2 linked regions of the Alligator mississippiensis genome follow. The protein of the gene in region 1 interacts with the protein of each later gene in a pairwise test. Links are inferred from orthologs where the notes say so. Each region holds a gene or a part of one and is shown on either strand. Other genes may lie near its edges.

Evidence for each region. The genes of interacting proteins can lie anywhere in the genome.
Region 2: the proteins of HTT (region 1) and KPNA3 interact in binary tests that used the Homo sapiens proteins (3 or more experiments, as listed by UniProt). The link is inferred for Alligator mississippiensis from reciprocal best matches to the Homo sapiens genes HTT and KPNA3.

Annotation. Positions count from the first base shown.
Region 1 is NC_081825.1:21,137,307-21,145,268, reverse strand, and holds the start of HTT (huntingtin), read right to left. Parts: upstream 3,029-7,962; 5' UTR 2,950-3,028; coding exon 2,849-2,949; intron 1-2,848.
Region 2 is NC_081824.1:414,741,456-414,749,302, forward strand, and holds the start of KPNA3 (importin subunit alpha-4), read right to left. Parts: upstream 3,039-7,847; 5' UTR 2,966-3,038; coding exon 2,885-2,965; intron 2,361-2,884; exon of another isoform or gene 2,018-2,360; intron 311-2,017; exon of another isoform or gene 222-310; intron 1-221. UniProt on the Homo sapiens protein: Functions in nuclear protein import as an adapter protein for nuclear receptor KPNB1. Binds specifically and directly to substrates containing either a simple or bipartite NLS motif.

The DNA of each region.
Region 1 (7,962 bases):
TTTCTCAGTCTGTGTAGAGTCTCATCATGCGGGTCCTCTTCAGGTGGAGTAGAGCAGTCACCTACTCCCTAATAAATCCTCCTCTTCCCTCCCACCCACCTGCCCCTCTAACTCACTTCAAACTGAACAGTTTGCCCATATCCTCAGGAGGACGTGCTAAATGCTGAAAGTTCACCATGCTGTCACAACTTTTACCAAAGCTACTTCTAAAAATATTTATTTGTCCATACAACAGAATGTGGTTCTTTTAGGTAACGCTCGTCTTACAAAACTAATATTATTATTAAATGTAATTTTCAAAATTAGTAATCAAGAAACTAGTAGTTTCACTTTTATGTCTAGTCAGGTTGCTGTTTTGTGACTAAACAACATCCAAGTTGAAGATGGCACAAAGGAATGCTTTAAAAAGTTCTCTCTTGCTCCTCCCGCATTAAAAAAAAAACCCAGCAGCATTCAGATGGAATTTTATTAAAGTATTTAAGTATAGTTGACCCTCAGTATTTGCATTCTTCCAAGACAGAAGTGGCAGTTAAAAAAAATAAGAGAGTTTGTAAATAGCTTGATAATGTTTAAAAGGAAAAGTTGAGAGAGAGAAAAACAAATTCACAAGTTGCTTCCCTCCTATAACCAACAGAAATGGATTATAATCTTATACTATATGCAGGTACTTCTTACAAACAAAGTGATTTTGTCTGAATTCCAAGCCTCCCAACATCCTAATAGTATTCCTGTATTTTCAAAGTTATTTACAATATGAAGTTGTAATTTATACAGTGACATTGAGTAAGCAAGGTCTTGTAAGTTACAGTGATAACTTTTCACAGTAAGAACAAGTACATGTCACTAAGCCACCCAGCCAGCTTGTAGTTTTGCCACATCTAGTTCTCAAGTTACCTTCTCTTCCTTGTTCCTTCTAAATGAAAGATTTAAACCAACAATTAAGAAGACTGTTGGATTAGATTGTTGAACAACTGAACGGTTGAACAACTGAGAAGATCGTTTATCATATTGTAAATAACAGTTGTAGGAGGTAAAGCAGTGAAAGACTTTACACAAAAGTCTATTAAATGAAAAGTAAACATACAGAAAAAGATAAGACTTTTCTCCCTTATTAGTATCCCTAGTTCAGTTTAAAGCACATGCCTGAAGCTTTCTGGATGTGGGTATTAAAATCATTTTAAAAAATTAAAGCAAAGACTACCAATATAACCCTTCGTAGTGTTAGAGTACAGTTGTATTGTAACTTCACTCATACAGTTCCTGGGGATTCCCAAAACAACCAATTTCCTATGCCAATTCTAAATTGCAACAGAGTTGATAAGGACAGGTCAGAGTCTGATTTCTCAATGTTTATTTTGCAGGTTCCCAAGACAAATTTTTATTTTTGTATTTCATGCCCATATTTGCAGTAATTCACAGCCAGAGCTCTTTTGGAGAAGGACTGTAAGAGGCTACTTTATCAACACCTTTCTGGATACATGCAATTAAACTGGATAAGAGAAAGCTTGTATTAAAGCTGTTCAGTGATGAAAATGCCTCAGCCTACCCTCCAAGAAGCAAGAGGCACCAACACATGCAGAAAAGCTGGATATAATTCCATAGCAGAGGCACAGGCGGCTCTCCTCACATGCCCTGCCATAAGAACATGAAAAATAAATAAAGATCATTCAAGACAACTCTCTTGAAACAATGTATACCATGTCAGCTTCCCTGATGCAGGCTCTAGGCAGATTCTTTCAGAGGATCTGACGTGAGCTTAGGCTCACTAAAGCTTGTGCTATATATATATATATATATATATATATATATATATATATATAATCTCCTTGGGATACTCCATAAGGCGGCAAAACTGCCCTGCCTTCAGCTTGCCTGATGTCTGGGTTTGGCATTGGTGCCCAGGAATCCAGCTCCACTGCTAACTGGCTCCATGCCTAAAGCTGCCAAAACCTCCACTTCAGAAATTACATATTCTCCGTCCTTCTGCTCCTTCCAATGTAAAGTGCGCACCACTTTACACCACGCACCGAGTCAGCGAAGCTCAACCAAGGCACCTCAGCACTCTGGGGTGCTGCGAGACCCTTTCGGGGTGCCACAGGATGCCACACAACGTCAGTACCATTAGCTGCGCAAACATGGTTCACAAGAGAAACCCCAGAATAAGAACCCACAACATTAAAAACCATTCTGCCCTGCAGGGTCTTTCTGAGCTCTTAACAACAGAGACGTCAAGTCACGCAGAAGCAGGGGCGGAAGGGACCTTCAGAGCTCATCCAGTCCAACCCTGCCCCACACAGGATCATCCCTATTCAAACCATAATCTAAACCGTGCCTAAGATGACCGCCAGCCCTGACACAACACACCCGAGCCTGCCCCAGGTAAAGCAGGAGCGCCGCTGAAGCCAGCGTCCTGTTTCTATGAGATGTTGTTGACATCGCTCAACAAATCCTGCAAAGGAAAGCAAAACCCCCTCAGCCTGCACCAACCTGACCATAGCTTAAAAATTTCTCCCTGGCATGAAATGTGGCGACCGGACTGACCCCGAGCAGAGGGGCAAGGCCCTCCAGCCAGAAACCTCCGGGTTTGGTGCCAGCAGCAGCCAACACCCAGCGCCTCTGAGGGAGGCTCAGCCCCTCAGACACGGGGAGCCGGCCAGCGGGGGCAGCCCCCGTAGCAGAAGGCAGACGCCGACACCGCCCCGGCCAGGGCCCGCACCGCCTCTGCCGACAGGGGCAAGCCCACAGCTTCCCTGGGCAGCGGCTCCGCGGCAGCAGCAGGAGCCCGCGGCCCGGCGGGAGCTGCCTCCCTGCCGCCTCGGGGGGTCCCTCGGCCCGACCCGGCACTCACGGCCTGTGCAGCGGCTCCTCGGGGACGGTGGCCGGGCCCTGCTGCTGCTGGAAGGAGCGCAGCGACTCGAAGGCCTTCATCAGCTTCTCCATAGTGGCCATGGCGCCGCGAGGAACGGGCGAGACGCTGCAGGGGCCGCGATGGCTCCGGGTTACCTCGCCGCCATCTTGGCCACGTCCCGTCGTGCCCCGCGCGGAGGCGCTCACGAGGGCAACGGGTGGAGGGGGGGGAGCGACAGCCTCATCCGCCAATCAGAAACGAAGATCGAGGACCCGGGATTCGCCCTCCCCGCCACTAGCAGGGTAGGGAGGGAAATGACAAGCTTGGTTGAGAGCTGCAGTGACGAACGGAGCCACGCTCCCTCCGGGCGCTCCGCCCACTTGGCTCTGCTAGTGGGCGGGTCCTAGCGCCGCTCGGGTACTCGGCACGCGGGCGCCCTCTGCTGGCTATGCGGTGCCGATGCTTCGTGCCCGGCGGCTGAGCCAGGCGGAGGGGAGAGGGGGGACCTGATTCATAGCAGCCCCCACAGCTCCTAGAAAGGAGACTGGCACGTTGGGTGCGCCCCCGAGCTGCCCCCGTCGCAGTGGGGTAGGGCATGGGGGTGTCCCGGGGGGTGTGAGCTCGTGTTTTATCCAGAGAAGACAGAGCAAGTTCCTCTGAATATCTAGGTTGTAGCTGGCTTGGTCTGGAGGCAAAAGCAATCAGGACTTGTGGTAGAGGAGATCTCTTTTATTAGAGCAACTAGACTTTTACCCCCCCGCCCCCAAAGCTTGCAATTAAATCATGTTTTTTGCAAAAATCTAAAAGATTTCACCTCTACCACGGTCCTGATTGCTTTTCCCTCGGAAGCAGACACCAGCGCACTGGGGCATTAGCAGTCAGGCAGCGTCCCCGAGAGCAGGGACATGCAGAGAGAAACCCGGCTCATTGCGCGGTGCCAGGTCCCAGTGTTGGCTACAAATGTCCAACTCAGGATCCTTAAAATTCTGGTTTATTAGGCGGATTGAAACACTGTAATGAAGTTAAATCATAAGCCTTGGAGCTGATGCCCACACGCACACATGCACACCCCCACAGTAGCAAGCTCCGAGAGTCAGGTATAGCTATCCCACAGGCGCTGGAGTCTGCCGTTGAGGCTTCTTCCAGCGTGGTGTTATCTTCCAGAAGGGGGTCGCCGGCTGGTCCTTCTGACTGGACAGGTCAGGTGCTGGTCAAGTTGGAGATCAAGAGGGCGCCCCTAACGGTCACTTTTCACTGCTTTTTACCTGTCCTTGGCAGACTTTGGTGACTTCCCAGTTTTCAGGTTTGCCCAATCCACGGGTCGTTGACCCTCGTGGAGCGTCCGTTGATTAATTTTGAATAGGGCTCTGGGAGCGGTCGATCTGGAGATATTCATCCCAAAAGTTGGTCCCCGGCGTTGATTAACTCAGACCAGGGCTTCTAGCCCTTGAACAGTGAAGTTTAGAGATTTCCCGGTTGTTACATTGTCTTCTATTGATTTCTTCCATTGGTTGATCTGCGGTTTCCCTAGGTGTTAATTGCTGTCTGCTACTGTGTTATGCATTCAGTCACTGATTCACTCGCTCTTTCAGGGGCCAGCCTGATACAGGGAAGCAACAGTTTGACTCCTGCCCTTGTTAACATTGTTACTAAAGACATTTATAGTTGAAAGTTGAAAGGTGAGGAGTATAAAATATAAGCTACAAGAGTAATGCCATGGCACACAAATAGATAAAAATACCAAAATACAAGGGGAGATACAAAATGCACACATACAAATTTTAAAACACAATTCCTTATCTTAAAGTGAAAGAAAGAGGAAGGAAGAAAAGGTAGAAGAGGAAAAACATATTCTAAGAGGGGAGAGCAAATGCAGGCAAGAGGAAAAGGGGGCTTTCTGCTACACCAGGGCCCCCAGGGTGTGAGGCAAGCTCCACGCTCGCCCACCTCTGCCTTTGTCTGGGGGAGTCTTATACCCTTCAGGTTCAAGTGTCTGAATTCCCACTCCTCCTTCTAAGATAAGGAGCTCTTGACCTATTCAGTAGGGAGTAAGGAAACAGAGTCATGATTCGTGACCATTGTTCTTTCCTAGGGTCATGACTTACTACCATCAGGTGCCATCGCTGGCCTGGGTATCTCGACTCCCTTGAAACTGTGCCTCACAATTCACTGCTCTTGATTTGCTTCTCTCATTCAGATCGAGCTATTTCTAGGATCAGAGCATCCGGGAGGTGAAACATAGTGACACACCCAGCACAGCAAAAAAGGGTGTTCAGGACTCCCCCACAGAAGTGAAGGCAGTTACCCAGGGGTGGGATGGCACAGAGCATCAAACCTCCAAGGGGGACAAGCTGAAGTAACCCAAGTGAGAGAACCAACCAGACTGCTGGGGTGCCACTTACAGCTTCTGACAAGCACATCCCCACTTCACCAGCCCTGCGGGGGTGTTTACTGCATACATGTACAAAGAATATACATTTGAAACTCAACATGCAAATCCATTTCTAAACCCGTTTACTTAAAACTTGTATGTAAAAAAATGCACACACAACTAATGCACAGACCCTCCACAACAAGTCAACAGGATCACTGGGCTTCAGTTGCCCATGTCAGGAGACACCCTGAAGTAGAAGTCCAATGGAGCTCTCCCCCAGCCTACCCCTCCTTTCATTTTTATGCCCATTTTCAGTAGGCCTGGCTTTCATGCTTTCTTAAAAGCAAGGGCTGGGTACACCCCACTCATTATGTTTGGACCAGCAGAGCAGAGTGGATGGGCATTGCCAAAGCAATAATCATGCCCTCTCCTGTGGGACATGGCAGCAGCCAAGCAGTATCTCCTGCCCTTTGAAGCAGAAGACCAGACTGTACTTCTCACTCACAGACATTGTACAAAGCAAGGCAAAGACGCATTTTTGTCAGGGGAAGGGGTATATTCAATTAAACTAAAAAGCTCAACTCAGTAATGTAGGATGTGGAAGGGATGCTTATCGTTTCCCTTGAGCGACAGAGCTAACGATGTATAAACTCATAAAAACAAGTCCTAAAAGTAGCTTTTTCCTTGGAATGGACAAAGGCTGGTATTGGATGTATTAATCAAGAGATCTTCGGAAGCCACTATCAGGCCGAAGTATGTATTTCATACATTATACACACAGTGCAAATTACACTTGCCAAATACTGCTGTACTATCAGTACTCAGTATAGTTTTACAGAACAGATTATACCCATTTCCAGCAACTGCACTTAATACACACTTGCTTGCCAACCGCTATTGCTGCTTGATTCTTACTTTATCAAAATGGAAAAGCCAAACACCTCCCTACTCTTCCTTTCTCCCTATGCATTTATTGCAGAACAAAGGCATTGACCAGGGTAAATGGAGACATTTTTACAGGAAGCTATGCTGAAAGTTGGCAACGCATCATCAATTCTTGTCAAAGTGAATAATTTAATCTGGAAGAGGTCCCATTTTTTCCTGTTTTCCAGTCCCTTGTTTTGAGGCAGGTATAGGTCAAAGTCAAACTAAATTTATTTTGTACCTATATTACTGCACTAAATACCAGCATGATGTTTTATGTTTATATGGACTTCCTCTTTACTTGTATAGCATTCACTGAATTAGAATAACCTCTTCATATCTTGTCCTATTTGACCATAAAACATGTTCCAAATACTTTGATTTCCCAGAAGGAAGGACTCCTCTCTCATGCCTGATGTGCCACATCCCAGGGTATTTTCTTCTGCTATTCAAAATTAATTACTGCTAAATTTACAGCTTACTATTATAAAGCTGTTTTTTTAAGTCAATATGTCTGTCAGTGCCCATCCAATTAAAAAAAAAATCAATGTGGTATTGCAATGAATTTTCCATACAGTTACAACTGCTGGTTTTAAAACTGGTGCTAGAATATGTTTAATCGCAACTCCCCCATTATACAAGTTAGATTAGTTAAAACAAGGAAGGAATATTTTCCCTGTGTAATTAAAAACTCTGACAACTCAGGCACATGTTTTTCGAAAAGTAGCAAAGGAACAAATGTGACCTATTTAGTGCAAAAGTAACTGCACAGTAAATCCTACACTTCTGTTTTCTTACTTCTGTACATCCTGTTTTCACATCACTGATTTCTGTTTATTGAATAAGTGCTATGCCAGCTGTTGTCATTCGTTTGGAGAAAAGCTGCAGCATAAGCTCCAATTACTAACACAAGATTTTTTTAAATAGATTTTGGTTCCATACAAATTCAGCTTTGCTGTCTTCCCTGACATGGATGCTCCAGAGTATCCCCTCAGCTATGGAAAATTTTTTATTTAGTCAAGCCTATATTTGATTATTTTAAGTTAAATAAAAGAAGTATCAGAGTTCCTTGTAGGGCTAGGTCCAACTTCAATCCTGACAAGTTAGACTCCCTAATACACAATTTGTAGGTACATAGCCTCTAGAACAGAATGCAGTTAGGTGCCTGGATTCCCTGCACAGAGAAAGTTAAGACACTTCAAGGTGGGATTTGAGGCAACTGCCTAGAGCTAGCCAATAAAAAACGCTAAGTACTGGCCTAAGGCTGAACTCCCATCCCCTTCTATCATTCAGGCAAAGGATGGAATTGAGCAAAGGTTCCACTTGCTTGAAACCTAGAGCCCAAATTCCTCTCCGAAGGACAGGTGCCTATATCTGTTCCCTGAAGGCTGCCAGAATCTCTCTTGCCCTTGCTGTGTGCCTTCTTTTCTGCATAGTAGTAGAGCTGCAACGGGAAAGATGGAGGTCTTTTGCACCAGAGCAGGCTGCTGCATCTGCTGGGCTTCAGCACTCAAATTAGTCTATGGCCTAGGCCCTAGTAGTTAGTTATTCTTCTGGGACATGGGAAAAGTAGGTGTGAACCCTTCAGGCTGAACAGGGCCTAGAACTCAGGTCCCTTACTTCCTGAGAAAGTTTAAATCATTAGTATCTAAGACAGGGCTGTCCAACTTTTGAGCAGCTGCAGTATAGGGGGTGCTGCACACCATCTGAGCCCCCCGACACAGGCTGTGCAGAATACCCAGGACCCTCATCACACAGGCCCCCTCCATGGGCTCCTATAGGCTACACCCCGCTGAAGGACAGGAAGCAGAAGCCA
Region 2 (7,847 bases), on another chromosome or scaffold:
ATTAAATAATCAGAGAACATTATTGGCTAAAAAAAGCCAATAACATTCATTTTCCTTTTAATCAGTGCTAATCTGATACACAACCGATATATCAGTGAACCTCTTTTGGAAATAAGGCATTTAACAGTTAAGATGTCCTAAAAAAAGCAATACTGTAAGGTAGATAAATCAGCACATACAAGTCCAACATCCAGAATAGTTCATTTTTCTACGAACGTTACCTTACAAAGATCTCAGCTCACTTGAACATCCCAAATGATCAGTGGTATTCCTCCTGGTTTCTAGAGTTCCTCTTTTGTTTAAAAAAGTTATCTACAAACGTAAAGGCAATAATTTTGGAAGAATTTCCTATATTATATAAAAAGCACCTTCACTGTGGCAAAAGGCTCAAAGCAAGCAATTCTCAACTAGGAGAGAGAGAGTGCAACAAGTTAAAGACTAACTTGTGCCCCCTACCCTTCCTGATCTTAGACTAACAAAGTTAACTACCTCTCCTATAGTCAATGATGGCACCACACAGCTGAATGAAATGGACTGCAATCTATCTACTTTAGAATTAAAGAGTTAGACTTTAAGATGCCATCCTTACAGCTGTTACTCAATTATACTAGTTACCAGGTCCATAGCCATATCACAGGATGTAAATGCTTTGCCTGGCATACAATTCATTTTACACTGCAACAAACCTGCAAGTCAGCACCTCTTGTTCAAAAGAACAGTTCAACACATGTGGTATTCCCTAGAGCAGGGGTGTCAATCATTGAGCCAGCAGGCCATATTTGGCCTACAGTCTCCCTATCCTGCCCACCAGACTGCACAGTTGGACCCTTTGGCCCTGCTGGGCATGGCAATCAGTAGTAAGCTTGGCTTGCTGCCACCAGACTCCAGTGTTCCTCCAGCCCCCACCAGACCTGCAGTGCCCGCCCTGCACCATGGTGGCTACTGAGGCAGCCCTCCTGCCCCAGGTTGGATCCAACCCACAAGGAGCCCTGCAGTCCAGATCCAGCCTAGTGCCCCATTGGGGGCAAATACTCCTGCCCAATAGTAAACTCATCAAGTCTTTTAAAATAATCCTAGTAGATACACTGGTATAACAACTGGTTAAAGCAAAGCTACTGATGAGGGTACTTTTACCACCAGTTTCAGGAATGACCTCCATGCTAAACAGGAAGTCAATCAGGAAGTCAACAGACAAGAAATATTGAAAATCACCAAATATTTAACACAAGCCACATTCTGATTCTTAAGAGTTCTGCTTAAATTGTTTGTTTGTTTTTTAAACCGACTAAATTTAATGTAAAGCATTCATAACCTTTATACCGAATATCTAATTTCTTCTGTGACTTTAAAGCTTTTTAAGTACTACCTTACTTCTTTAGAGAATAATAAAAATTGGGGGTACAGAAATTAATGCTGAACAAGCTTTCTCCCTTATCACCTTTTAGCTCTAGTACAGAACCTTTTACACTCCACCAGGGCTAAGTATTGTGACCCACTGAGCTGGGAAGCTTCAGGGCTAGTCTATTCAGGAAAACTGACCACAGAATAACCATAATAAGAGCAATTAATGCAGATTAACTACTTGAGAACAGCAGCCACACAAGGGAGGTACACCAGCACAACTAAAGCTGAATAATTCTCTTGAGACAGCTATGGCAGTTTCCCCTTTGTAAACAGAAACATCCTTTTCTGAGCTCACTAGCCACCAGCTTCAAACAAGCCCACATATCAGGAAGCCTAGATGGCAAGACATACCAAGTGAGAATATCAGCCTGCCCCCACTTAGTTCTCTAACCAGCTCGGCCAGCTGCTGGGGAGACAGAAAATGAAGATCCTGATTTCCGCAGAAACAATGAAGCAAAATCAATATTCTCAATATAGGGAGACGGGAAAGGAGGATGAACGATTTCACAGGGCGAGAAGCAGGCAAGAACCAGTAATGAAGCCAGCTACTTAATCTAAGGGTGGGGCCCTTAAAAAAAAAAAGAAAAAAAAAAGATAACAATAATTTAGTTACCACTGCTGGACTGCCAGGCACACAACCGTCCCTTCACAAGTGCATCCACCTTGCAGAAAGCATTATTTCCCACAGATTCACCCCCAGCAAGTGCCATATACACGGAGATAGAGATTAGTTTCCATTGTGAATGTCATCTGTACAAAGGCAGGCTACTGCTGAGCTAGGCCTGCACAGACTGGCCTCCACCCAAACAATAGCAGCTAAAGTGCGAATTCTGCCCCAGCCCATAGGAGCTGGGGGGAGGGGGATGCTGCTTCAGAGCCCGTTTTGGACTGAGCCGGCCGCCCACGGGTGAGCGCAAAGCTGTCAGAGCGAGGCTCCGCACCCCTTTCTCTCCGGCAGGTTGACTCTCACTCTTTATCTCCCCTCCCCTGATCTCAGCTGGAAGACAACAGAGGCTCCCCACCACCTGCTCGGCCAACAACACGAGTCGGGGAAGGCAGCCGGGTGCCACGCAGAGGCCTACCGCAGCCCCCACACCCCGCCGGGATCCAACCCCCTTTAGCGGCCCAGGCACGGCCTGCCCCCGCGGCTGGGGGGGAGGTGCTGGGTGGGCGCGCGCTCAGCGCCGCCTCCGGGGCCCGCGAGCGCCGCCTCCAGCGCCCGGAACCACCGATGAGGGAGGCGACAGCGGCGGCCACAGGGCCCAGCCCGGCCGGCAGCGCTGGGGAGGGGAGGGGAGGGGATGGGGGGCCCTGCCCGCACCCCGCGCCCGGCGGCGTGAGGGGGGAAGGATCCGCCCCCGTGCCCCGCCCGCGTGACGGGGAATTAAAACCCGGAGGCATTTTTCTGGCGGCCCCTCCCCGCCGGGCCGGGCCGCGGGAGCCGGCTGGGGGGGCGCGGCGCGCAGGGCCCGGCGCTCACCTCCACGTCGCGGCCCTTGTTCTTGAAGCTCTTGATGCGGTGGTTCTCCAGGCCCGCGGCGGCGGCAGCGTTCTCGGCCATGGCGGCGGCGGCGGCGGCTCCCAGCTCCTGCGAGGCGGCTCCGGCGGCGGTTCGCGGGGGGCGGGGCACGGACGTTCCGTGACGAGCCGCGGGGAGGGGCGGGGCGCGCCGTTGGGGGGGGCAGCGCCGTTGCTGAGTGACGGGGCGCGCGGCCCCAGGCACGTGACGACGCCCGGACGCAGCTGCGCGCGCTGGCGCGGAGCCGAAGCCGTTGCGGCGGCTGCGGACCACAAGACCCAGCATGCCCTGCCGTCCCGCCTCCGGGGGCTGCGAGGCCCAGCGTCAAGCGGCAGTTGCTCGCGCGGCGGCTTCGCTGCGCTGCTAATAGGGAGGGGAAGGGGTGCTCCGGCCTCGGGCTGTTACCATACGGCCCCCCGTGGTCCCTGCAAGCGCCTCCGCGGGGTGCAGCTTGGCCTAGGTTCCTCCTCTGTCTCCCTCCGCTCTCGCTTCACGGGAACAGGCCCCTTGTGAGCCGGGTAGGCTTTGGCCCGTAGTTCCCAGTTCGGCTTGCACCGGGTCCGGGGCTAGGGCCTAGGCCTTGCACAGCTGCTTAGTTTCCTCCTGGTCTATCAAGCTGTTCCCCTGCGAGAACTGAGTTGCTCCCAAGCCTGGGCGGATGCAGGCGCTGGAAACGGGGTGCCCGCAGCGTGGTGGATCATCACCTATAAAGCAACAACCACCCTTCTAGTTAAAAATAAACCTGAAGTTTCAGGGATAGGGGCCTGGGGCTGTGTCATTCTGTTAGATTGAAGCAACACAATAACAAAGAGAGTTAAACCTGCAGGGCTGTGAGAGAGCTCGTTCCCACAAGCAGACAGCAGCATGGCAGAGCAGAGGTTAGCTTGACTGGTGGAACATCAAGCCCATGAAAAAGAAGAGTGGGTCGCTAACACGTGGATGAAGAGTCTAGAAATGCTGCTGGTACTGCCAAACAGGTGGTTGTAAACTAAAGGTGAAGCAGGAATCAAAGGGGGTGCAAGTGCACCATCTGGATCCACTTCTGTTCCCAAGGGTGGCGATTTCAATATTGGTGCCTCCAAGATGGACTTTAGAGGCCAAAGTAAAAAAATGGCATGATTCACAAGTGGTCACCTATGCTGGAGGGTGCAAGTGAGAGATGAACAGTGAAAAAAAAACCCATTTGTTCTCCCTCTCAGCATCCAATCTCTGCCTCTGTGTGACACAGGATAATACTGGGAAGATGGACCTATGATCTGACCCAATACATGTCAGTTCTTATGTTCCTACGATATCACAGAGACTTGGTGGGACAGCTTCCATGACTGGAATTTCAGCAGTGAGAGCTACACTCTCTTTTTGGAAAGACAGGATTGGGAGAAAAGGTGGCATTTGCTTTGTATGTCAAAAATACATATTTGTTCTCCAGTTCAGAAAGAAGGTCAGAATATATGTGGGTGAAAATAAAAGGTGAAAAATACAGCACCAATAAAATGGTGAGGGTTTATCATAGACTACAAAGGATGAAAGTGTGGATGAGACACTTCAAGAAAGTGACAAAATTTATCTCAGTTATGAGATTGTCTTGATGGGAGACTTTGATATTCCAGACACCTACTGGAAGAATCATATAGCCAAACATAAAAAGTCAAGCAAGTTTCTACCTTGTGTGGAGAACAGCATTCTTTTCCAGAAAGTTGAGGGTACAATTAGGAGATCATCTATCTTGGATTTTGTCCTGACTAATAGGGAAGAATTGGTGGAGGATGCAAAGGCGAGAAAAAGATCACAATATGATAGAATTTATGATCCTAACACTGGGAAAGTGTAAGATCAGCAGAACTAGGACACTGTATTTCATAAAGGCAGCTTTCAAGTGACTTAAGGAGATGGTACTCATCATGTCATGGAAGGACAGACTAAAGGATAAAGGCACCCAGGACAGCTGGAAGCTTCTAAAGAGTATTGGAAGGTCAACAAGAAGCTGTTCCAACATGACAGAAGCATGAGAAGAATGGCAAGAGAGCAATCTGGCTGCACAGGGAGCTTCTAAGATGCTTCAAAAGCAAAAGGAAAGCATACAGGCAATGGAGAAATGGGCTGATTACCAAGAAAGCATACCAGGAAATAGAATTTGCAGGGACAAAATCAGGAAGGCAAGAGTAAAAAATAAACTTCACCTGGTAAAGCAAGTTAAGGGCAACAAAAAGACATTATAAAAATACTAGCAAATTCCCCGTAAAGAATGACCGTGGGGGGCAGGTGGGCGGGGATGGAGCCCCGTGTCCAGCTCCGCCCCACCTTCCTGTCACACCAGGCCCAGGCCCAGACCCACTGCCCCCACCATGCCCCCCACTTCACCACTCTGAGCTCCACCCCACTCCCCCCGCCACACCCTTGCTCCCCACCACCACTCTGGCTCTGGCCCTGCTCCACCCCGCTCCGCCTGTCTGGGCTTGGGAGGGCAGAGAGGGAGACAAAGTGCAGGAGGGAGTGGGGCAGGGGCAAATTACTTGCTCCTGCCCCACTCCCTCCTGCACTGTGGGGATTACCCCACGACCCAGCCATGCCGGTGCCCCTTTCACAGTGACTGGGGCCCCCCGGTTTGTGGGACAAGCGGACCCCAGCAGCTCCTCCAGAGGTGTGGTGCTGGGAAGCTGGGGGCCCCCAGTCTGTGCATAGGGTAGGGGCAGGATCTACCTCTGCTCCCTGCCTCGCTGCCGCTGCTTTGACAGCGGCGCGGTACAGCACCATGCGAGTCCCGCTGTGTAGCAGGCCATGGTGCCGCACCACTGTCGAAGTAGTAGCAAGGCAGGAAGCAGAAGCAAAGCCCACCCTTGCCCTGTGCACAGACAGGGGACAATGTGCCCCCCTGCTCCGCTCCTTGGTGTCATGCCTCTGGAGGAGCTGCCAGGCTCCAATTGTCCCATGACCCGGCCCAGGTGGGGCCACATTCACTGTGAACAGGGCCCCGGCTGGGCCAGGGCATGGGGCAATCAAAGCCCAGTGGGTGGTCCAGGGCCATGGCACCAGGGAGCCAAAGTGAGGGAGAATGTGCCCTGGTTCCCCCGTGGTGCACGCAGCTGCAGAAGCCGCCTGTCCTCACCCCTGGAGGAACCACTGGGCTCCAACTGCCCCATTACTCAGCCCAGCCTGAGCACAACCCATCCCACCCGCCCTCTTGGCAGCGTATGCACAGTTGGGCCAGAGTATTCTGGACGGACAGACAGACAGATGGACAGAGGGTCTAAGGCTTTTATTATATTAGAAATTAGGCCAGAAGAGAAAAACAAAGGAAGGTATGGGTCCTCAATTAAATAGACAGGCCAAACTCTTAACAAGATGTTGGCTCAGAGTGGCACGAGATGCATGGGTGCATGCCTGCCACGCCCCCACACCCTGAAGCCCCCCAGCAACCTCCAACAGCCACAGAGCACCCCGATGACCCCCAGCACAGCCGGAGGTAAGTGGGGCCTGTGGTGGGAGGGGACTAGGGTAGCTCAGCTGCGGCGAGGCAGCTGAGAGGAGCCAAAGAGGGTCTTGCCCTGTCCTGGCTCCTATTTGGCCCAGCCCCCCAGGGAGCCACACAAACAGGACACACAAATAGGCGTGCTTCTGGGCCCGGCGCATGGCTTAGCGTGGGAGTTCACTCAGGATGGTGAGCGGGAGGGCCCGAGGCCCTGCTAGTGAGTCCTAGGGAAGCTAGTGCCATCAGTAGCCAGATTACCAGCGGCACAACGTGGATGGGCACACGCCACACCCCAAGGGTCCCCTTGGAATCTGCAGCCTCTCCCTCTGGCACCTCAGAGGCCTTCACCCAGATGGAACCCACAGTTCTGGGCTCCATGCAGACAGAGCCTCTGGCTCTTGGTTGCCTGGCACATTGCCAGGCACGTGGGACCAGGACCATGACCACCTCCTCTTGCAGGGTTTGCTCCACTTTGTAGTCTCTGGGGCACCAGATTGAGGAGCTCCAGGCCACAGTCCAGAGACTACGTGCCATCAGGGATGGCAAGCAGGAGATAGACTCCTACTGCCAGGTCCTTCACTCCCTGGAGGCAGAGGGTAGACCAAGGTCACCTTCCAGGACAAGGGAGGACTCAGGGATCTCCCACACAGTCCGGCCAGGGGGTTGGACCAAGGTGGTCAGCGGCCCCAAGGCCCGCTGCACCAAGGTCCCCTCCCCTCTGGAGTTTTGCAACAGGTACAAATCTCTTGCAGCCCCAGTAGAGCCTGCAGAGCTGCCAGCTGCTGCTGGCAATGCAGGCTCACCCACAACTACCATTCCTGCTCTCCCTAAGGCCACTCGTAGAGTGGTGGTTGTGGGAGACTCCCTCCTGAGGGTGACTGAGGGTGCAATCTGTCGCCCCACCCCCTTAGCCCAGGAGGTCTGCTGCTTCCTGGGAACCCGTGTCCAGGACATGGCCAAGAGGATCCCTAAACTCATCCAGCCCAACAACCACTACCCTATGCTCCTTTATCCACGTGGGCATGAATGACACGGCTCGGAGCAATCCCAGCCATGTTATGAGATGCCACATTGTTTTGGGAGCGGGGTTTAAGGGGTTGGGGGCACAGGTGGTGTTTTCCTCAATCCTCCCAGTTTCGGGCTATGGGCTGAGGAGGGAGAGGAGGATCAAGGTAGTCAACCAAAGACTGAAGCGCTGGTGTCATCATGAAGGCTTAGGCTTCTATGATCGCAGTCCACTGCCTCTCTCACCAAAGAGCAGTCTGCTGGGGAGAGAGAGCCTCCACCTCACTCCGCTGGGGAGGAAGTTCTTCTCAGCCAGATTGGCTGACCTGCTCGACCGGGCTTTAAACTAAGCCCACCAGGGGTTGGGGAGGTTATCGCCACTGCTAGCCCACTGGGCAACCCTTGTAAATCTAGCAAGCTAAGGCACTTAAGGGAACCCACCCCTACCCT